Linked DNA regions of Bombyx mori. The protein of the gene in region 5 purifies or fractionates together with the protein of the main gene of each other region. This does not show direct contact. Links are inferred from orthologs where the notes say so. Each region holds a gene or a part of one and is shown on either strand. Other genes may lie near its edges. The genes, in order: transcription initiation factor TFIID subunit 5, transcription initiation factor TFIID subunit 9, transcription initiation factor TFIID subunit 12, transcription initiation factor TFIID subunit 4, Tbp and transcription initiation factor TFIID subunit 6.

Evidence for each region.
Region 1: the proteins of Tbp (region 5) and transcription initiation factor TFIID subunit 5 purify together in Drosophila melanogaster (affinity purification with western blotting; 4 studies listed by BioGRID). This does not show direct contact. The link is inferred for Bombyx mori from reciprocal best matches to the Drosophila melanogaster genes Tbp and Taf5.
Region 2: the proteins of Tbp (region 5) and transcription initiation factor TFIID subunit 9 purify together in Drosophila melanogaster (affinity purification with western blotting; 8 studies listed by BioGRID, with this or other methods). This does not show direct contact. The link is inferred for Bombyx mori from reciprocal best matches to the Drosophila melanogaster genes Tbp and Taf9.
Region 3: the proteins of Tbp (region 5) and transcription initiation factor TFIID subunit 12 purify together in Drosophila melanogaster (affinity purification with western blotting; 3 studies listed by BioGRID, with this or other methods). This does not show direct contact. The link is inferred for Bombyx mori from reciprocal best matches to the Drosophila melanogaster genes Tbp and Taf12.
Region 4: the proteins of Tbp (region 5) and transcription initiation factor TFIID subunit 4 purify together in Drosophila melanogaster (affinity purification with western blotting; 7 studies listed by BioGRID). This does not show direct contact. The link is inferred for Bombyx mori from reciprocal best matches to the Drosophila melanogaster genes Tbp and Taf4.
Region 6: the proteins of Tbp (region 5) and transcription initiation factor TFIID subunit 6 purify together in Drosophila melanogaster (affinity purification with western blotting; 5 studies listed by BioGRID, with this or other methods). This does not show direct contact. The link is inferred for Bombyx mori from reciprocal best matches to the Drosophila melanogaster genes Tbp and Taf6.

The regions. Positions count from the first base shown.
Region 1 is NC_085110.1:9,225,387-9,228,886, forward strand, and holds part of transcription initiation factor TFIID subunit 5, read right to left. Parts: intron 3,475-3,500; coding exon 3,275-3,474; intron 2,739-3,274; coding exon 2,537-2,738; intron 2,435-2,536; coding exon 2,245-2,434; intron 1,279-2,244; coding exon 1,203-1,278; intron 1,130-1,202; coding exon 992-1,129; intron 1-991. UniProt on the Drosophila melanogaster protein: TFIID is a multimeric protein complex that plays a central role in mediating promoter responses to various activators and repressors. May play a role in helping to anchor Taf4 within the TFIID complex.
Region 2 is NC_085109.1:1,357,273-1,361,188, forward strand, and holds transcription initiation factor TFIID subunit 9, read right to left. Parts: upstream 2,424-3,916; 5' UTR 2,228-2,423; coding exon 1,860-2,227; intron 1,287-1,859; coding exon 1,064-1,286; intron 691-1,063; coding exon 571-690; 3' UTR 501-570; downstream 1-500. UniProt on the Drosophila melanogaster protein: TFIID is a multimeric protein complex that plays a central role in mediating promoter responses to various activators and repressors.
Region 3 is NC_085113.1:5,365,976-5,369,838, forward strand, and holds transcription initiation factor TFIID subunit 12, read right to left. Parts: upstream 2,640-3,863; 5' UTR 2,502-2,639; coding exon 2,292-2,501; intron 1,810-2,291; coding exon 1,617-1,809; intron 763-1,616; coding exon 635-762; 3' UTR 501-634; downstream 1-500. UniProt on the Drosophila melanogaster protein: TFIID is a multimeric protein complex that plays a central role in mediating promoter responses to various activators and repressors.
Region 4 is NC_085107.1:19,834,974-19,838,969, forward strand, and holds the start of transcription initiation factor TFIID subunit 4, read right to left. Parts: upstream 2,801-3,996; 5' UTR 2,778-2,800; coding exon 1,962-2,777; intron 801-1,961; coding exon 636-800; intron 1-635. UniProt on the Drosophila melanogaster protein: TFIID is a multimeric protein complex that plays a central role in mediating promoter responses to various activators and repressors.
Region 5 is NC_085118.1:10,751,688-10,755,854, reverse strand, and holds the start of Tbp (TATA-box-binding protein), read left to right. Parts: upstream 1-1,367; 5' UTR 1,368-1,580; coding exon 1,581-1,853; intron 1,854-2,025; coding exon 2,026-2,156; intron 2,157-2,192; exon of another isoform or gene 2,193-2,329; intron 2,330-2,405; exon of another isoform or gene 2,406-2,508; intron 2,509-3,034; exon of another isoform or gene 3,035-3,172; intron 3,173-3,758; coding exon 3,759-4,002; intron 4,003-4,167. UniProt on the Drosophila melanogaster protein: General transcription factor that functions at the core of the DNA-binding multiprotein factor TFIID.
Region 6 is NC_085121.1:11,010,764-11,014,786, forward strand, and holds the start of transcription initiation factor TFIID subunit 6, read right to left. Parts: upstream 2,801-4,023; 5' UTR 2,380-2,800; intron 2,306-2,379; 5' UTR 2,292-2,305; coding exon 2,055-2,291; intron 1,937-2,054; coding exon 1,648-1,936; intron 1,321-1,647; coding exon 1,169-1,320; intron 477-1,168; coding exon 297-476; intron 1-296. Other genes in the region: E3 SUMO-protein ligase RanBP2, read left to right, coding at 3,401-3,469, 3,545-3,770. UniProt on the Drosophila melanogaster protein: TFIID is a multimeric protein complex that plays a central role in mediating promoter responses to various activators and repressors.

The DNA.
Region 1 (3,500 bases), on a different chromosome or scaffold from region 5:
TTTAGTGTGTTCTCTGTGTGTTTTCGCATTGTTTGCTTTGAAAAATTTTATTCACAATTCTAGAAAAGTTAAATATCATGTTATTTCCGAATACGAATTATACCGTGGCATCAGTAGAAAAATGGGTACCGCATTAGATAATTGACTTCCATCAGCGATTTTGAGTGACTGAAGATAAATTCAAAATAGTCGAAAATAAGATCTGTAAGATCGTTAAAAGTAGACGTTTCGCGAACAAGTTTGTGTTAACCGAACCACTACAGTTACTAGAAATCCGACTAAGAAATTTCTGTAGGTCCATTACCAATATTATTTCAGTCTTCAATAAATTTTCCATCAAATGGTGTAATTATGTAGCTATAAACAAATTTTTGTTTGTTAGGAAACTGTAATTCATCATAGTCATCGCAAACCTATACTTCAAAAATAGAGACATGAACTGATTCTTTGATTATTTGTAATGTAATTGATTATTTGTAAAGTTTATTCATGACAGACAGAGTGCAAGCTTAACGGTACTTAGCGGTAGGCTGCGGCTTAACTATGCTCCTGGCGTTCCTGACGTCCATAGGCGACGGTAACCACTCACCATCAGGGGAGCCGTATCTGGTCTGCCTACAAGGGAAATAAAAAAGCAATAATACCAAAGTTTCTTTTGGTAACGCATGCATTGTTGGAAAGGGACAGTGCATCACATTCGAAATTTCATTTAATTAACTTACTAGCCGGTTTTAATGATAAGTCATATATCACGAGATCCACGAGATCCCATTCCACGACGCCCTTCCTGCGGCCAATAATCGGAGGCGCTGGCGGGACATTACAAGGAGTAAAATCATGTCGAAGTATAATGGTCACGACCCTCAGCAGTGAGGAAACGACGCGAGGAGATAATATAATATATTTGTAAAATACAGAGCCGGTTCACTGCCCCGTTCAGACTGGGAACTTTGATTCCGATTTCAAAGTTTGTTAAACCGGACCCACGTACCAGTTGTATCCTCAGAGCACGAAAGCAGCATTGTTTTAAAAGGATCAAATGCAACTTTATAAACGGGGCCGGAGTGCCCAAAAAGGTTGCGGCACGTATCACGGTCCTTTTCCTCCATCATCCTCACGAGTACATCACCTAAAAGTAAGCAATTTATTTATATTAGATTAAATCATTTGAAAACAATTATATATTTTAACCAAATTTATACCTGCTTCCCTGTCTATATCTTGTAGTTTTTCTGCAGATTTCATTCCTCGCAGTTTAATGGGAGTCAATGTCCATACCTAAAATATTTTAAATTAGAATATAATTTTGAGTTTTAGGATGAATGAGTAGTGTTTAGGTAGTAATAATTAGAGACAAATTATAATTTGAGAAGATAGTTTCTTTAGAATTATCGATTAGTTTCTCGGATGGTTTTCAATCATTGGGTACCCGAAGATACTTCGATCTATTAGGGGCTGCTCTGAGTCGTGATCTACCATTAATAACTACCCTTACCACAGGGCAATGCTTATCGTAGGGTTTCCACAGCGAGATTTAAGAGTTCATTGTGTCACTCGGCTTTGCCTGGAATTAACTAACTCTCCCTTTCTCAGATTTTTCCCGAGCATTGCGACATGTCGTTAGTATTAAGGCATGTCCCTGAGCCTTTGAGGTAATTAGGAATAAAATATTTAACAACTCTGATTTGAATTTTGCAACGACCTTTTGATGCTTAATTTAAGCCTCGTATACTTACTGTACTTAAATATTATCGTAAAAGCTTTTTAGCATTAAGTGATCTCTGATCTTTACAGTCATGTAGAAAAATATGTACACAAGTGGAAACATGATGAGAGCGTTATATTTACAAGCGGTTACTTCATATTTTACTGGGTTTACAGTTTTGTGGATAACGACCTAGGAATGATCACTGAGCGAGTGTCTTTGTCCTAATGCTCGAAACTTAGATGTGCTTATGTGTTTGATGATGTGTTTTTGACAAATATCTTCTATTCTGTAATAGCTGTCGCTACAATAGTAAGAGTGCTAAATTGGGAAAAACGTGGTAGCATCTCTAGTCAGGTTTTCTTTTTTCAAAAACTTCTCAAAGAAAAAATCTAGTCTTAGGCGATACAGTTCCTTCAAAAGCTCTAATTAAAAATAGCAGCTTCATTCCTATGCTATTTTTTGTTAGTTAGTAAAAAGCATATACCTGAAAATCATAACACATTAAATCAATACCATTCGCTATATACTATGTATACCTTTATGTTTGAGTTATTAAATCCCACAGCCAAAAGGGTGGAATCGTCACAAATATCACAACTAATTGCAGTATGTCCGCTGTTCAGTAATGTATAGAAACAAATAGAGGGCAAGCTGTCTGGTCCTAGCTGAACACGTTTTGATGCTTCTCTGAGTGCTTTGCCTTTCTCTACTTTATCAATTTCTTTTCTAAAATAATAAATTAAAATATGTGCACATAATACTATATTTTTTATTTCACACAATTTCTTTCTAAAAAATTCATAAATTTGCAATCAGTACAAGACTTACAGATCTGGTAGAGGGATCCTGTCATTAGGAGGTGCATTTGGGTCAGATTTTGGTTTCTTCATAAAAAGATTATCTTTTTTCGCTTTTTTCTTTTTTGGTTTGTCAGGGGTTTCTTCTACTTCTTCTTCGTCTTCTACCGGAGCCGGTAGAACTTGAATATCGGGCTCTTTCAGGAGCCCATAATACACTTTGGTGCGATTTTCTATATAATTTAATTTTTTGTTTAATTTAAATTTAAAAAGTTTAATCTTATCATTGTTCTTGTGTTCATTAGGTATTGTCGTTTATATAATTATTTATAATAAAATGTATTCTATTTATTTGGCCTACCTACTTAAGAGTCATTTATTTTTTGGCCCTGTGATGCAATGTCATCATAATGTTATTTACAGTATAGTTACAATTTCATTGAATCAGTGTCACTATTTAAATACCGGAAGAAAAACTGGAGAACAATTGAATGTATAGATGAGTGAACAATGATGATATGTGGCTCTCATGGTGATATGTGGTTATCAGAGCTCATACAAATCAAAGCTTAAATGTCATCACACATCTTAAGACATGAGGTAGAAAAACCAAGTCTAATGTTTATCAGTTGTCTCAACATTAAAACAGGAACTTATTACTGCAGCAGAAAAACGTAGAACGGTGGTACCTACCTATGCAGGTTAATATTTAATGGCTCTCATTCTCATTGGTGTTTATAGTAATTCGATAATTATTCAACATTCTCACCACTTTTCATTGGTTCTCCAAGTACCCCTCCAGCTGTAGCTCGAACTTGTGCTTGAGTTCTTCCTGGACCATCATGGACTTCGATTTGTATATGATTATTTATTATATTTATTATTACTGAGGAATTTTTCTGTTCGTGTAAGTAACGTTTCAGTTGTGAAGATGCATCTCTTGATAACTGAACTGTAAATTTATTTGTGCTGGAAATGAAGAATATATTTAGATG
Region 2 (3,916 bases), on a different chromosome or scaffold from region 5:
GCTCGCGAGTGTAGTAGATGACAAGTTCTGTGAATGCATTTTTATCTTACCTACTCTATTTTAATGCCTTCTTAAATGTATGTTAAATCACTGTAGATATCCTGTTCTCATCTAGAAAACTACAACACATAATATCAAATTCAATTCAAAATTTGCACGGCAGCCAAGCTATACGGTCGCAAATTAAAAAGAATCTAGTTGTGCATCAAAACGGTATGAGTTCACCTCCAGATCTTACTTAAATTATAGGGCACAGTCAGACAGTGACTCTTTTAATCTCAGATTCTCTTACTTAAATCTTTCTGTTATTATATTATCTTTAGAACTTTTGGCAAGCTATTTCATTGAAATATGATTCACTTAAAAAAAACAGGAAAAATTCAATTTTTTTGTTGTTTCTACCTACAGTAATAATTAAAATACCCTTAGTCATATAAACCATACAATCTGAGCAATTTGCATCATCAGGTTTTATGGAATTAATCACTAAACAAACAGGATTAAACACATGATACTTTTTAATATCAAAATGTTGATTCCAGGCAGAAAGATCGTGATCCTATTAATTATTTATAGATCATAATCGTCGTCTTCTCTTTTCCGTTTGTGGCTCATTGGCTCGTCTGTCTCCATCTTGATAGGAGCCTGTGAGGAAGGACCAGCTGTCACTCTTACAGCTGGTTTTACTACCTGCAATATAATTCATTGACATTTAAATATTGTGCTAACTATGAAATGTCAGAAATAATGTAAAGCAAATAAAAAATGAAAGATTAAAATTAGTTTTAATTTATAATGTAGATTTCAATACATAATCAGATATAATAAAAAAAAATTGTGACGCAATTTTGATATTATCAAATATAAGTTGACATTTAATTAGACAAAATAGATATTTCGTTTTGTTTATATCATAATATAGATTATCAGTTTTCAACATTTCAAATTATTGTTAGGAAATAAAGAAACCACTTTTTAATAGTTCAATCTGTGATGAATATGATAAAGCATAGTGCTGTCTATTTATCTATTCTATAATTTTAAAATTAAACCAAATTCTTACTTTACTGCTTGATGAAAATTTCAGTACAGGTTTTGTTCCGAGACTGGTTTTTGGGGTGCCCACATTCACAATTGCTCCCGGTGGTCTCTTCATAACAACTGTCTGTTGAGGTGCTTTGGATGTGGTGACCGTTTTTATGGACGGGGAAGGGGTTATCGTAGTTTTTGTGATCACTTTCTTGGTTGCTGGTTTCAGTTTGTAATTACAGGATGACAGGCAGTAACTGGAAAAATGAATATTCTCTGTAAACATGCAGCGATTTACAAGTTAACCATATTAAAAGGCTCTGGGTGTTAAGGGAATCTCATGTTTCACACAAAATTAATCAAAATTATTCCATAATTTCCTTTGTTAGCGGAATTGGTCCATAGTGTATTTCTATTCATCATTTTTACTATTATACCAGGCTCCCAAATGCAACCATTGGTGTTTATGGAGTATTCTGACATTATTTCAGTAAGGTTTGAAGACTTCTTAGTAACAGGCAGTATTGAAGTATCAGTAACTACTTACAAATTGTAATAAGACAATCTGTCACCTAAAGATATTGTTTACAAGAAGACTTTACTGAACTTTGATTGTGAACACAATATTGTTGCAATCAATTCATGGTGCGCAAATTACATACGTGTGGTCTAAAGTGGAGTATTTTTCCCTCAAGTCCGGTGATTGAACCTTGAGCTATTTAAGCTAATCCTGATTTTTGAAGAAATTATCTAAGTCCATACTCACGAAAGATTAATATAATGTGCTGTGAGATATAGGATTAAAGTGTGCTACATTTTCCAATACTTACCGATCCGGAGGCAGTCTTAACCCGCAATGCGGCTTTATCAACGGCAAAGGATTAACATTCTTGACCCTCGCGATCTCCAGTAGCACTTCACGGGGCGGGGGATTCGTGAAGGACTTGTCCAATTGCATTTGAGCTGACAGTCTCACATCATCAAGATCTATAGTTTTCTTTTTTGCGTGGTTTGCAAATATCCTTGCATCATCTAATACTGATGTAACGTAGCGGTATGTGAATTCTAGGAGCTGGTTCACGACTCTCGGTTCATAGTCAGTGATACCTACTTCCTTCATGATGGACATGATGACTTGGGCATCTTTGGGAATGTGCTTAGCTTGACCACCCGATTTGGATTTGTCTTTCTCTGACATCTTGTAGTTTTATTTGTTATTTTAATTTTAGACCGAATTATTTCTGATTTGTTTAAAAATCTTTTTCTTAGTCATAGTATTGGCATACTTTATTTTGGTAACAATGCTATAAAAACAACACTTGTGCTGTGATTGTGACAGATCTATGTTGTTTGATGACGATTGTCAAGTCAATTCAAACTGTCAGTGTCAGCCATTCTGAGCCATTGACATCTTCATTTCAGAACACATTTAAAAGTATATCTCTCTATGGTTGTTGTCAGAACTTGGAAACAAACAAAAAACTGGTGCGCGTATAAAACTTGGTGCACGTGAAAGAAGTGAAACTTCAATTTATCTCGAGAAATAAGATTAACTTAGAAAGAAGTTGTTACCAGTATTCGATGATTACCGAACGAGTCCTTTGGTTTTACAATAATAATATGTTTAGTGATAATTACTTTTATTTAAAATACCGCCTTCTGTAAATAATTTAGAAACTAAACTGTTCACACCGATGGTCTTGCAATGTAGTAGTTAAACGAAATCCAATAGATGTCACTAAATTAAAAAACGACCTAACTCGCTTTGCCCTTTCCCTCTCTCCACGGTTGAGTGGTTCACAAGACGCCCTACCTATTTTCTTACTCTCGCTCTTCCTAAATTGTATCTTTTCTCTCTAGCCGTAACGAATCTGTCGCGAGTTAAATTTCACTCTCAACGCGCCTAAAGAAGTTTTACTTCAAAAAATATATAATGAATTCCTTTTTTCTTATTTATTTCGTTCATCAAACAGCTGTACAGTTAGTTAACAAAACTAACTAAGTAGCTGGTTTCAATATCTCTACTTTCAATACCTTTATCTTTAAACAAATGTAAACGCTTATCCCGCACTGTCTTACGAAAAAAATATTACCTAGATATTAAATTTCCTTTTATGCATTTACATTCAAAACAGAAATCATTTTTCTTATTTATTTATCTTAATTAAAGTACTCAAAATAAAAAGATATATGTATGTATATTATTTTTCGGCAATATTGTAACAAAATGAAAAACTGGTTTGTATTATTTGGTTCATTTAATTTTAGGATTTTCTTAGATTTAGAGAATATTAATATTCATTTATCAACCGTCTATAAACTGTGAATTGAAAAATAAATTAGAATAGATATCCATAATCTGGTTTTTTTCTGCCGCAAAACAGTCAAGCGTTCCCGTTTGATGTTTCTTTGTTCTGTTGGAATTTAAGCAATTGCTTGCCTTTCGACAAGTTACACAAAAAAGTTAGATATCCACTTAATAACAGTCTGGCAGGTTTTTTTACTAAGATAGCCAGTTCTGATTAGCGCCATGTTCAGTTTATTCATTCATTCATGAGACAGTATCTTGGAAGTAGGACTATTTTAACGATGGTGAATCAACAAGAATTGTTTCTAAAGTCACTGAAGGTTGACATGGATTTTGAAGGGTATTAAATAAATAAAACATACAACTATAATAACCATTTCGATTTATTCAGTTAAAATATGAAATAACTTACGTGTACAGTAAAAATAAGTATTTTCAGATATCAATCCAATTGTTAAGTGGGTCGCTTCGGACGCTGACACGTCGCAGCACGGCGATACCTTCACGAAATGTACTAGAATATCGCTAATGATTACATTAATGTAATATTGTATTAGGTACATTAACTAATACATGGAC
Region 3 (3,863 bases), on a different chromosome or scaffold from region 5:
CATGTTTGACATAAAAAACACAAGCTTATTAGAATTAATAAAATTGCGTGTTAGTTAAATGTTGTTTTTATTTGTTTATCCCATTCATTGAATTATACAACTAAGCTCGTTTGTCGAGTGGCTAAAAAACTATGCTAACTAAAAAAAGCCAGACTTCTGTAATAAGGAAAATATAAGTAGAGGTAGAGTGAACAAAATTATATGCATATTCTAAGAATTTTCCTAGTTTGGCAATGGTGTTATAATGAATAAACATATAAATCTTACAAAAATTTAAAACTTAATTTATCTGATGCTGCTAAGTTTACTGTAAAGTTTATTTCGTAGGACCTTGACAATAAAATAATATATGAACATACATAACTTAAACAATTTTTATAGTTAAATCTCGGGATTTTTATTTTCGTTATATTATGTTAGATGTTTTAAATATTTTATAAGTAGTATTAACCTTGTTTACGAATCACGCGAAAACTGACGAAAATAGTAATAGTCATACATATTTTGAAAATATTTATTTAAGAAAATTACAACTATATTCTAAAAAACAGCTTACAGATAAAATCGTAAACTGTTAAATAATAAAATACAAGACATTACAATCTCGTTTAGGTATTGATATCTAATTTATTAGCTAATATTTTTTTATCGATTTCCGGATGAGTGCCATCCGTTGTCTGTGCGCTTCTGTAACTGCTGCTCTCTTGTATGGCCGCAGTTCATCGTTTCCAAAACCTGGTATCCACATGTTCCACTGACGTTCTGAAAATTCAAAATGATAATTCATTTTTTCTTATGTTCTTATATTGACAATTCAGCTATTACAAGAATATCTAATCACGGTCTTTCTAATAGTAGAAAACAAAATTGAAGCTAAATGCATCAATGTATTTTCACTTATATTGCATAAGGAGTCTTTGCTAGGTTTCAACAAATACAAAGAAAATTTTAAATGAAACTGCAAAGGTGTAAAGCTGAAATGTTTTCCATTTTCAAAAGAATAACGATAATTGCTGAAATAATGATTTATAACTGCACATCTTATGGTAGGTAGATAGTGAATCAATATTGTGGTGTACTATAGTTATAGTTCTCAAATACCATGTCTGGGTACTTTTACTAAGGAATATCTTACATTTTGTCTGGTAAATTTACAGCTGAGGACAATTATAAAACTATTATTCCACAAATTATGTAATGATGTTGTTAATGTACCTATTCACCTATACACCTACAATGATTTTTATAAATGAAATATCCAAGATTTGGAGCATGATGTAAGCTTGTCCACTCATTTTTAGCGAATCAACTTCAAGGATAAAAACAGTAATGTTTACCTAAAATTCCTTTGAAAATGTCATGTATATTGACTGATAAGAAGTTTCATCAGATTTGCTCATAAAATATTCTAAAAAAAAGGAATTCACCTTTGCTATTAACTTGGCACACACAACATGGTTAACTCGCAGTGGTTAACAGTATTTTAATTATATTTTCATGATTGTTAAATGACAAACAACATAACTGATATTAGTTTGTTGATGTAAAACCAGTAAAATTAAAATTTAATTTTGTGTTGTGGCATTATATGTAATATTAAAAAATATATAATTTACCTAAATGTAGCTGCACATCTCTCAGTTCTACATTTGGTGCATGCCTGTGCTTAGCAAGAGCGCAAGCTGAATTCAGTGTAGTGTCGATGAAGTCATCTGCAAGCTGCAGTAACATTTCCTCCACTTCTTCATCGAGCTGCACTGTTGGGTCCACTTCTCTAACTAATTCTTGAAGACGAGGACGGCTTAGAAGCTGTATATAAAAAAATCAACAATATAGATTTTCAAATTGTAGTCATTATTGTCATCATCAGCCCACAGACATTACACAATGACTGGTCCTTCACAGCCCACATCCAGCAAATTAAATTTTAATATCTAAAGATACATTAAGGAGACCACATTAAGGATAAGATTTCTGGAAAACAGAATTTAAAAAATTGTCGAATTAAAGACAGGTTATAAAAATCTTCTGAAACAAGTTCTATACTCAAATTTTATGCTTCTGGTAACAAGATTTAATTTACTATAATGTTAAGTAACAATTATATTGTTTTGCACTAATTACTATTAAATTACTCTATTAAATTTAACATATTTTATAAAGCTTTAGTCCTTGACAAAGAGTCCAAATGGATTTATGGATACTATTGCGTTGTTGAGTTTGCGTGGATAGTAAGGTTTGAAAAAATATATGTTAATATACCACGAAGTCTTAAAATCTTTTCAACCTACCTGAGATGACTGGTCACCAGCTCCGCCTTGGCCAACTTTTGCTACTTGTGACTGGGTCCCCATAGGGCTGTGTTGAGAAGGAGAACCTTGAATAGAAGTGTTTTGAAGTTGAGGACTTTGCATGGGATTATTAACGTATTGTATAGCGCCTTGACCAACAGTCCCTATTGTAGGCATATTTGCTGCTTGTGCTAGAGAATTATTGGACATTTATACTTTTAACACAACAAACGAGAAAACGTCACGTATAAAAACGATAATCTTTAAACATTTCGAAATCTCCGAGATGAGTGTGTCAATACGAGTTTATTTATTTTTCTTATAAGATCGTCTCAATATTTCAATTTCATTCCTAATTGACAATATTACTTAAGTCATTTGTTAACATTTTTTCGACTGGCAAAGAAACCATACCCCATACAGCATATTATTTTGTTACAGGATGCAGGTTTTATTATAGCAGGTTAAAAAGTCAGTGCCGCCATCCGCCTTGAGACATGAAATCCATGTTTCAATTGTATTGTATAAACGACTTTCCCAACTTTCAAACTGAAACGCATGATTGCTTAACGACAACAATAAGTCGAATAGCGCGAGTGATTAACACTAATAATAAAAACTAGAAATGAATAAGGTGAGATGTCAGGAGATTAAATAACCTAGAGACTGTTTACTAAGACTTCAATAAAATAAAATTAAAAAGAGCTTTGTGGACGTGGATTCCTGGGTTTTTCCAAAAACCTGAACTGAAGTCTCAGTAAATAACTCTCATTTTAGGGAGACTTTATTACATTCCATCTCATCTCGTATCATTTAATTTGATCCCGATTAATAACAGCCTTAAATAAGTCAACTTCGTCCTATTCCGTTATCCCATATCATTTCTCACAGAACACGTATATTTAAATTAATTGGAGATTTTATAAAATCGATACTGGCAACAACGGTATAGAAAGAAGCTTATTGTCACATTGAAAAAAAGAACTACTAAGTACTTTTTTTTTTGGTCAGGAGAAAATCGCCGATCTTCCGCCCTCCCCTTTTTTTTTCCATCCCTGGGGATGGAGGGCGGGGCCATAGATTATACACTTAATATATTCGAGACATGTCAGAGTCGAACTGACTAAAACCTCCTGTTGCTCAACAACCCGCGTCCGATCCTCGCATGAGACAACTCATGAAAAGTCAAAGGGGGAAAGTGAAGCGTTTAGTGCACATCTCTCCCATTACCCTCCCCCTCGGGACGCCGGACCGGCGGTCGTCGGCGCCACGACCACCAGCCCTCCCGGTAGGCAGGCTATCCAGAGCCCGCCTAGATGGCGCCGGTTAGAATGGGTTATCCTACGGAATACCCCGCTGGGTCACAACCAGCGTGGGTCGAGGATAGCCGGCCTTCCATCACCCGGATGCTCTTGCGTAAAACGCGTGCAGAGCAGCTTGCACGTCCTCTTCTTAGGCCCCCTTCGCCAGTCCCCAGACCGACATGTAAAGGGGACCCGAAACACTTACAGGGCCAGGGCTTGGGCGAGATCCGCCTCCTGACCCCCGCTCGACGGCGGCGGCTTGTGCATC
Region 4 (3,996 bases), on a different chromosome or scaffold from region 5:
AAAACGCGTGTTATGGGATCACACAAGTGCGTCATATGAAAATACTCCTACAACGTGTTTCCTATAACATGGAACCAATTGACTGTGTTATAGGATGGATTACTGTATAATAATTTATAATAGATATTTTTGATATTTTTAAACAATGGCTTGTCTGTTATACAGTTAAGATTATATTAATCAAATAACTTATAATTTCTAAAATTTATAAAAAATTTATTAAAGTATAACACTAAATTATAAATATATCTATAAACACATATCTAATTATATTGCATATATTATTGTATTTACTAATAAATATTTAAATACTTGAAGCAGCTTAATAACTATGCATAATAAGCATGCTCTACAGCTAGCACGGACATTTGGCTTATACTTAGATGTACTGTTGGGGTACCAGCGCATATATTTATGCCTTACATTAAACTAATGAATCCAGGTAATTAGTATTTATAAGTAATGATACTCCAATTAGAATCTTCTTACCTTGTTAATAAGAACATGCACCTTCACCACATTTGTACATGCATGAACAACATGAAATTGGACAAACATGAGATTCTCAATGTGGCGCAAGAGAGAGGGGGGGTTGTCCAATCTCAGTCAGGGTGTGAGTGGTTGTGCCTACTTACTGCTGGCACAGTGGACAGCCTGATGGTTTGAGGCTGGGGCGTCGTGAGAGAGCTGGCCGCTGGAGCGGGACCCACTCTCAGCAACTGGTATTGACCATTCTCTGTCTTTAACAACAAATGACCCTGCTGGCCCGGTTGTAGACTTGGTAGTGTTTGCAGCGTTATCTAAAAATTGAACGCTTCAATTCAATTTCACCTACTTCTTCATTAAATGAAGAGTAACAAGTGAAAGAATATATATTTTACTAAATATAAAATTGGAATGCGAATTCCTAAAGCAGGTCATTTGTTAAAATTTATAACACACTTCAGTGACATGACAACATTGACGGGACAGGTGACTGTGCAAAACTAACATGTATATGATATGATTATGACAAGGTTAGGATGGGTTAAGCTATTATTGATTACAATATTATACAAAAGCCCGAGTAGCACAATGCAATTATATATGACATATATGACATCTGAAATGAAGCTTTCTCAGATTCCATTAAACTGGTAAAGATTGCTTGATTTCATAAATTTTACTAATATTTTTATTTGTAGCAGTTTTATGGATTCCCAGAAAATTATATAATAAAGTTTAATTTATAAATCCATGTTGTATTAGGTTTATATTTTGAGGCATTATTTGATTGTAGGGTAGCAGAATTCAAAGTTAAATTTCAGCTTGTTTATGATATGCAAACCACTGAAAATTTGTTGAATCACCAGTGGGCCCATTTCCCATTGATAAAAGTTTAACAAGCAGTATTCTGTGTTTATGTGACAATTTGTGCAAATATGCTAAGAGTTTTAGATGACAGTGATGTTGCCCGAAGAAATCCATCCTCTTCATGTTTCAGTGAAATTTATTTACAGATAAGTGGGTATCTAAGAATTGTGTTAATATCTTTTGTACATAACCATAATGAACCATGTTATAACATTTATTTTTACAGCATAACATTATAATGCAGAAAGATCCTGTAGATTTTTTCTTTTTTGTTTTAGTTCCTCTATAATGTCTATTGTTAATTTGTTTTAGGACTGATAAAAAGACAATAAAAACAATAGAAGATTCTGATTTGATTAAATTAGAAATTAATAACATTAACTTATTTTAAGTTTAATGATTTTTATCTTTTACAAACATTTCAGAAAAGTTGCAATATACTATGTTTTGAATTTCCTAAATATTGTTTTATTTATAAAAGTTTTTTTTTTTTTGGTGGTATATTTACTTTACAACTTGTATCAGTCCTAAAAGTTTTAAATAAGTTTTAGTGACAAAACGCTTGGATAAATAATTAATGTATTAATATTTTAACATTTGAGACTTACGCCTGGTCCTGCAGCTCTGGTGCCAACAACTTGTGGGGTGCCTATCACTACTCTTGGTGATACTGTTGCTACTGACTTTTGTGCCGCAACTGCTGGAGCACCAGCTCTCATATTCAGAATCTGAACATTAGGGAGTATTGTGGGCTGACTCGAACCCAAGTTCTGAGTTGTTACAACTACATTTTGTCCAGGTTTGTTCAAAGTCATTACATTTGGTATTGAACCGGACATGCTTGAATTGGCTGTCATCGGTACTGTGACCATTCCAGACTGTATTCCCACTTGGCCCGAAGACGTCCCCTGTTTTAAAACTAAAGGAGGTTGCATCGCGTCTACTGACGTTATCAAATGATTTTGGGACGAGGACAACCCAACGAAACCGTTCGGAAGTGACTGAGCGGGAAATGTCACCGAATTTGGGTTAGAAAATGCTTGAGCCTGAGAATATATAACTTGTATGTTATCGTTACAATTGGTCACAGTACCACCCGGTGTCAAAGAGGAATAAGTACCAGGAACACTTGATTGGACATTATTACAGGACGTGCTATTTGTCAACGAGGGTCTGTGTATACTGTTCGCGGCAATACCGCAGCTAACTCCGCCTGTTGTATATTTATGACCACTTATAATAGAGCCCGCGTTCGAACTTAGCCCGGGAAACTGAGATGATAAAACGTTCACTAAAATATTTTGTGACGGCGCCGACGATACGTTAGTAACTAATTGGTTTTCGAGAGTGCCCACGATCGCGTTCACGGCTTTCTCGTCGACGTCTGTGGACAAAGCTTCCTCCAAAAACTCCGTTGACGCCATTTTCTACAAATCAGCGGATATGACACTGGACGGTTACAAACCGGTATTTACCGACAAAATGTGGTATCACTGCTTTTGGAAACAACTTTTATTTTTTACTTTTTAGATTTTTGTCTGTTTGATAAAAAGTACTTTTTTTAAGACAGCCCAAATAAAATCACTACCTTTTCAATAAAAAGAATAATTTTGTTATTTGACTGAAAATTGTACAAATGTTGGTAATACATGCTAAAAGTTGTCATACCTCAGATGACTATATACAATATTTACAGTTAAATACACAGGGACATAAAATAAGGTACATAAATAAATAAATAAACACCAACTTTGTGATCTGTTAAAAGTGTCCGCCAAAAAGTAGAACAGCGTCTTTGTACAAAGGTGAGCCAATTTACAACTGCAAAGGTTTCAGGCTAAAACTTATTCTTAATTCGCTATTCATAACTATATTTTAATTTTAAGTCTCTTTTGTTGTGATTGTGTTAGACACTTTATAAATTACGTTCTTATCAAATCCTAATGTTATAATACCACATTTTACTCCATCTAAAGTGATCGACATTCCTTAATGAATTGAATTATAATGAGGTCTAAGTCGCAAGTCGCAAAATTTTAGTTATGATATTAATTTATATTTTTGGAAAAATATTAACAAGCTAAAAAGCTACGTTAATATTTTTTAAATTATCTATACCAATATTATAAAGAAGAAAGATTTGTTTGTTTGTTTGTATTGAATAGGCTCCGAAACCACTGAACCGATTTGAAAAATTCTTTCACTGTTTCGAAGCTACATTATTCCCGAGTGACATAGGTTATATTATTTTTTGAAAAATTTAGGGATCTTACTAAAACTAAAACTCCAATAATGTAACCCAAGGTGTAAAAAAATTACCTTCAATATTCTTTCCATCGCGTGCCCTGCGAAAACTATTGATAATAGAATAAAATAATGTACAACTTTGTAGAACACATTATTTACAAAAAGTGTCGCAACAGCATATGTACTCTTATAGTTATTCCGCAATAAGTGTTCTTTTATTTAAAAAAAAATAAAACAACGTCAAATATCATTGAATTTTTTATTAAAGACCCGAGCGGAGACGGTGCGGGCCGCTAGTACTGTATAAATTGAATTAAATTCACGAAAATTTTAGTGCGTTTCAATATGATTAGTAGCATAAATAAAGTAGAGTAAACGAAATAAACGAAATAAAAC
Region 5 (4,167 bases):
TTCTTTCTTTCCACAGCGTAAACAATGCATTGGATTTAATTTTCGTGTTGTATTTTGATGTAATGGTACGGTTTTGGTTTTGCTCCTATTTATTTTTTTAATACTTGTTCGTGGTGTGTCTTGTTCTGCCTGTTCTCTTGATTGAGAGATTGTAAAAATTTGTTGGAAGGTTACTTCTCGTGGTATTCCGTCTACCATTTGAACTAAATCAGGCCATTTTTGTTTCAAGTCGGTTTCTAAATCTGGATGATTCAATCCAGTGGCAAAGCGGTCACGTAATTGTCGTTCCAGGAAGTCATTAGTGTAGCCACAATCCCGACTAAGACCTTTTAATCTGTTTGCATAGTGTTCCATCGTTTCATTTTGTTCTCTAGTGCAATTCCAAAATTCTGTTAAGGCTCTATACCTCGTCGTTTTTATGCGATAGAGGTCTAATAATTTGTTACAAATTTCGCTGTATGTAGCTATATCGAAATCAGGCGTTAAAGCTACTTTTAATTCGTGGAATATCTCTGGTGTTAGTAAATTCAGAAGCAAATCTTTCTGTAAGTCGCTGTTATCGATAGCAAGAATTTTGCATTTGTTTTCGAAAAAATCAATGTAATCGTCAATTCTGAATGTATCTGGATTGTATTTATCCATATTGAAATGTTTGATTATACTTATCTTGTTATCCGTATCATGTTTTGTAAAAGAGTCGTTCGTCACGCTCTTGGCCGTTGTATTGCAAACTGCTGGTACCAACAATTTCAAGATTTGTAAAATCTGCTCTTGCTGGTTTTGTTGTGCATGTAAAAATAATGCGAATTGTTCATCGTTCATCTTAATTTCTTTTAACTCGTCGCCAATATAATAAAACAATGTTTTCAAGACATAGCATAAAATATAATAATGATAGGTAGCAAAAATGACAATGTGTTTGAAGTATATTTCAAATAATGGAATATGTAAAAGAAGGTTACAACAGAGTGCACCGCGGCGCCGGCGCGGCCTTGACATTTTCAATGAACCTGTTACATTTCTACGTACCTATTCCATTTTGAACGCGCGCTTACTGGAGAGCGCTAGATAATTATTGCACACGAGCGCTACATGGGCATCTCTACCTGTGGTTCTACAGAGACATCATTACATTTCATCTCACTCATTAAGTTTCATCGGGTACCTAGTCCATAACATTTGATTCTATTCTATTACACTTTGGATTTAACAAACCAAATTGTCTTTTAACACAAAATAATGGACTAGGCTGAATAGTTTCATTCCATCGCCTTCGCTTATCGCGAATATGATTTTACTTTGACATGTTGGTTCTGAATTTTGTTTGAAAAATGAGGAATTATATAGATACCTACATAATGTGACTTGTGTTGATCAACTAAGTTTTAACTGTTTTAATTCATTGTATTAATTGTTTTGCTGATCCATTAAATTTGCAAATAATTTCACAATTTAGGTGATATTGTTCAGAAAGTAAGAACGATATAAGCGTCATTATCAATTAATAAATAGACAGTTAGGTCGACGCTTACTAAAACACTCACCCGAAGTTTCCATATAAAGAAAGTAAAGAAAGAAAAATGGATCATATGCTGCCAAGTCCGTATAACATACCTGGAATAGGTACACCATTGCATCAACCTGAAGAAGACCAGCAAATCTTGCCTAATGCAATGCAACAGCAACAGCTTCAACAGCAACAGTCCCAGGCACAACCGTCACTTGCCGCTCTGGGTTCGTCGCCAATTGTAGGATTTGGCGCAATCATGGGGACTCCACAGAGGTCTATGCACACATATGCACCAACAGCCAGCTATGCAACTCCGCAACAGATGATGCAGCCTCAAACTCCAGTAAGGATTTTAAGTCCTTGTTTTACGAGAATTTCCATTTATAATTTTAAATTATTTTGACAGTAATATTTTTCAATGATTTCATATTTGCTTTTTAATCCAAACCAACAATTCAACACTCTTTAATTTCTAGATAAATTTAACATTAACATTCAGCTATATCAACTTTTAGCAAAATATGATGTCTCCGATGATAGCTGCAGGAAATCTATCAAGTCAACAAATGCTAAGCCAAGCTAGTCCTGCCCCAATGACTCCTCTGACACCACTCTCTGCAGACCCTGGAATTTTACCACAGTTACAGTTAGTATTTGAAACATTTGTCCAATATCAATTTAATAAAATATTAAATTAAAAAGTTTAGAGTATTAAACTCAGCAGTGATGTGTATAATGAACCTTATTAGACCCTTAGTGGGGTCTCTTAAGAATCTTCAACTTCTCACAACTTCACACAGACTTCAAATTACAGTTAATCTGAAACAGTTTAAGAGGCCAGGTTATTTTTCATTCTGCTAAAAAAAAACAACGTGTATTTAAAGTCAAAGATAACCTGTTCTAAGTGATAACCAGAGATCTAAGTGATAAACATCACAATATCACCATCTTAAAAAGTAAGAAATTTCAAGGACATTTTTGTATCATCACCCTCCAAGCTGAAATTAATAATATCTGCTTTGTGACACATATAGACAGAATTTTAGTATTATCATCCTGTGTAGGTTCACAATTCAGGGCAAATCACAAATAATTACACATGTTCTGATACAAGACATTTTTTGCCATTGAAGTCTGCTATGCTGGACCATGTTGTTATTATGAGGATAATTTTGCCAATTTTACATTGTTTACTTTATATTGTAAGGCTAAATAACCATTAAGTTGGCAAAACTAAATGTAGTTTGATTGAGTTAATTATTATGAGACATGTTTTAAAATAACTTCACTTTTACAAAAGGGGCCACTACCTTGCAAATTATATCAAAAGATGACAAATTTAGTCAACACTAGTTTTTTTTATATGTAAAATTTTTGCAGTATGATATTATTTACAAAACAACCAATTTTCTCATTTTAGTATGCTCAAAGATCATAATCATACTGTAAATGTGATGGACAGTAATAAAAAAGAATGGTGGTTAGTATCATTCAGTAAGCTTGGTTATTTTGTTGAATATATACCTTCTCGTAAAAGTAACTGGCTTGGAACTTCATAATATATTTGGCCCTTGTTTGCTGGACTTAGCATAATGCAAACTGTATTGATAGTAATACTCAAATTTGCAAATAAGCAACTTGTGGCAGCCAAGCCAACAATAGTGTGGTTCTTAGTGTTCACTGTACAGAACATAGATTCTGAGGAACTCTTCAATATTTTGACTATACTTTTCAAACATCTATTCAAATGTTAATATTGGAATTATAATTTCCCTTCAATTTATATCCCATGGAATTTCATTAATTAATACAAAAAGTGATTGCTGAAAATACAGAATTCTTACACTATAATATGTTATTATTCAGTATCAGAGCAGAGCAACTCAAATGGCGCCTTTGCTACCTGGATTCTTTCCTCGTTTTCTCTAATTCGATAATTAATGGGAGATTTGAAGTGCCAGAATGTTAGTGTTAAAGATATAAAATTAAAATTAATTTCAGCATGCCCTAGGTTGAATTTTTTGAGTAAATATCAATTTAAAATTTTTGAATAAATAGTTTCAAATATCTATTATATTACTTGCCCAATGGAGTGTAATGTTTTGGTTTAAAGATGAAAAGTCTAACATACTTTAACCAACTAATAAAATGAAATCTCGTTTTAATGTAGAAAAAAATCACAATTTTGACTAAAATTAAGTCTAAATAATCCATATTTTTTTAAAGTTGCATTCAAAAAACATTTCAGAAACATAGTCTCTACTGTAAATCTTGACTGCAAATTAGATTTGAAGAAGATTGCATTACATGCTCGTAATGCTGAGTATAATCCCAAACGTTTTGCCGCTGTAATTATGAGAATAAGGGAACCGAGAACAACAGCTTTAATTTTCTCATCTGGTAAAATGGTCTGTACTGGTGCCAAAAGTGAGGAAGACTCCCGTTTAGCGGCAAGAAAATATGCTAGAATAATCCAGAAATTAGGCTTCACAGTGAGTATTATAATTTATTTCAATCACAATTAGACAAGCAGTTTCACTTGATGGATGGATTAGCACCAAAAATTTAGATATCAAATAGGTATCTCGAATAATGTTTTTCCTTAGATTCTACAATACATCTAGTCTAGGTAGAGTCTAAAACTACATTTAAGTTTT
Region 6 (4,023 bases), on a different chromosome or scaffold from region 5:
CCTTTGATATACATTCTTCTCGTTGACTAAACATAATGAAGATATACATTCTACTTTTATATTCATTAATTGAAGTAAAGACACTGCAATAAAAAGTGGAAAATCCCAACATGGATGTCATTCACATTGTGGAATATACAAACTTGCATGATCAAAGTGAATAAATAATGTAAGTACACATTTATTGAATTTGAAATTTAATGATTTTTATCTTGAGACTCAATTCACAGTTTCAACATTTGATAATGTGACGAAGGTTCTCCATAATTTTGTTATTAATAGGAATAACTACTCACATATTTTTCCAAATATAGTGACTGGTTATCAAGTAGTGCCTTAACCATTCGCATCAGGTAAATGAGAAGAGCCAGATTGTTTTGTACGACATTAACCTTCACACCTTCAGATATAAAAGTACACATTCTGGGCAACATCTCGTGTAGTCCTGGGTCACAAGCTAAGGACTGGAGCGCTTCCTGCAAGATGAAGAAATTTGTAAAGCAGAATACAAAATTATTTTTTTTCAATTATTTCAGATCTTTCACAAATAGAATAACATACATATAGGATATCTAAACCTATTAGAAAATTCTATACTTTGTAAAAAGTATGGTTGGTGATCTTTGCCACCAGTTATATATTTAGTGAGTTAGGTCTTGTTTAGACTACACTTGAACAGCAATGGAAATTTAAATATAGACATCTTTTGCTTAGATGTGTGGACGAGCTCACGCCCACCTGGTGTTAAGTGGTTACTGGAGCCCATAGACATTTACCAGAAATTGTTTTCATATAGTAAAAAATTTCTGCCGTGAAGCAGTAATGCGTTTCGGTTTGAAGGGTGGGGCAGCCGTTGTGACTATACTGAGACCTTAGAACTATATCTCAAGGTGTGTGGCGCATTTACGTTGTGGATGTCTATGGGCTCCAGTAACCACTTAACACCAGGTGGGCTGTGAGCTCGTCTACCCATCTAAGCAATATGGATATGGTTTTCCATAATAATATTGTGAAATAGTTTCTTTCAATATATCTACTATAAATATAATTATGTAATGTATTTAATGAGAAGATATGCAACTTTTTAAGATTCAATATTAAATGGAAGAAAAAATTATATGGTGTTCATTGTTTTTTTTTTTTTCTTTCTATCAGGGTAGTTACTTACAGCACGTCTTGTTTCATCACTGCCAACACAGGCTTCTGTGATTTCTTTATAATAGAGCTGCTGTTCAACACTCAATTCATGGGTAGCAAGCTGTTTAACATGCACAGATTCTGATGCTTTCAATCTTGCTGCTTTGCCACATATAGGTTTACCTGTAATATTTATATTTATAAAAAAATATTATCTTTCACACCCGCATAGAATCGCTTTTTTTTTAAATTGTAGCAGTGGTAAAAAAATGAGGTTATGATTCCAATGTTTATTCCTATACATATATTTGTGTCAAAATATCATTTGCAATAATCTCTTGAAAATACTAAATAACTTGTTACTTGTGTACTTTAATTCAGATAATTCAATCAGAATCCATATTAAGCCCTACCAATTATATTCTTCCAGTTTTGTATCTTTTCTACCATAAGTAAAATTAATTAAACCCTGTGATATTCCTATCAAAACAACTGTTATAGTTATCTAACCTGCAGAATCTTTATTGCTTGGTTTACTCAGTTTACTTATTGGATCAACAGATTCAAGTTTCTGAGCTTCTTTTGAAAGCGGTGGTGGATTTTCAGGTACTGTTGGTTGAACCCCATCCACACTTAGCCAATGTGCACGAACAGATACATCCAATGGAACCTTTGGGGGTGGTGCTGATAGGATCTCCGAAAGATCTATCTCTTTTTCTTCAATGAAATGGAGTTCTCTACCTCCTCCAGATGCGAACCTAAATGGCAGCGAATCAGGCTGAATAAATCCATATTGACACTAAAATGAATGAAATAATATAATGAATTAAAAAAAAATATTGTTAATTTATCATAGGAGACCATGGAACACTTAAAGCCATATTTAAATATTGCTTTAACTGCAGATATTAAAATACCTCATTGTTTTTTATCTTCAGGGCATGATCTATATCTGTAATGGAAAGTTTTTGTCTCTTTGAGTGATGCATGAACTTCATGGCATCTTGAACAATCACTTTCAAGCGATATGTAACATCATCAGCGAGTTCCTTAGCAGCGTCATCGCCAAGAGTGGCGATACCAACACTCTCTGCTATCACTTTCATGGAATCCAACGTTAACGAAGATCCATAAGCCAATTCTGAGTCGCCCATGATAGAAATTAAATCTATAAAAAAATAAGGTTGTGGTTTATGAAAGTTGTTAAAGTTCTCAATTCAATCAAAGGGAGCATATGAATACCTTTAAGATACGTTGACTACAGCATTAAACAATGATTTATCACCAAATTGGTTACGATTACGATAGACCCCTTGTATCACTGTATTCTTTGGGTTAATCTTTAATTTTTTATTCCTGCTTTTTTCTGATATTTTCCTGTTGTGATAAGGTAAAGTTAATTAATGTAGATAAGTAGGTAGGTATGTACCTGTGTACCCTAATTTATTTACTATTTGGATACAAGTAGACATTCTACCATAGATTTTTTTGGTACAACATATTCTTCTTCTTAGTTTTTGGATCCGGCACGTTTGTGCATTAGCCAGCGTCAAGTAATAAGATTTTTAGGAATCGCCGTTTTAAGTAGGTATTTACAGTTTACGAATAATAAAAAACGAAGGAAACTTAATCAATTGGCATGAAATGCTGCTTATGCTGCCCATGCTCTATTATTTGTCTTGAGTGTGAAAAAACTGGATGAAGCTATTTTATGCCAATACTATGGACATGTCACACCCAAAATTAAAACTACGGTCTCATGCCATAAGATGGGTGTAGATTATAATGTCTATGGGATCAAGTTGAGTGCATGAGCTAAGGATTGCGTAATTTATGATTTTTTTATTAAGCCAAGTAAATTTTATGACAACAAATAGAAACCATATTTTTTTACATTTTTAAGCATTGCTTTATAAAATTGTTCAGTAATGCATGCCACAGAAAAGTATTCCAGAAAATGAACAGTTATGAAACAAACATTTTTAAATTTGTGGTACATTTTGAGCTCATTTTTAGATCTAGCAATTTTTTGCTCTATAACTGACGACATATTGACTTTTGACGGCATTCCAATTTCTATTCGTTATTATTCATTTTGCCAACCATTTCAAAGAGAATAAAGGTAATCAATATAACCAACCATAGCTTCGCGTTCGATTACGGGCATTTGCAGCCTCATGCGCTTCAAGTTGTAATATTATTTTCAAAAGGTCTAGTTTTGTAAATAAGTGACTACTATCGGTTAGACGGAAAAATCGTTAAAATGTATAGAAATAAAAAAGACGTTGATAAGCACGTCGAAAATTTGCTGAACAAAATATCTTCGAGAGAGGTTGGTAGTTGGTGTTCAAATCAAGTATTACGCTTATTGACAAAGTTTTTACCATCGATATTTGGTTATTTTCAGTTTAAAAGTCGTGCTTATTCCATCGCTCGGTTGTATTTTGAAGTTGGCGATTTTGCGAATTGCCAAAAATATGTTGAGCAATATCTTACTCAAAAAGATAACAATGCAGCGGCTTATAAACTTCTCGGACAAGCTTTGCAGAAGATAGGACAAAAAGAAAAGGCTTTAGAACAATACAAAACTTCCCTGGACATTGACCCAGCCCAGACAAGCACTATTCTAGACAGTAAGTCTTACTAAAATAATATTTAATTTACAATTTATCATATAGCTACTTTACTAGGTTTGTTAATATTAAAACCAAAATCTTCTATTAAGCCATTTTTATGTGCAGTATTCTTATATATATTTATTTATATTTATGTGAAAATTATATTCTTAGTTATATTCTTTTTTTCTATCAGTAAGTGTGTTGGTGGTAGTACTATGATTAATTTATTTCCTTAGATGATTCTTGTCAGCTTGGAAGAGGTCATATT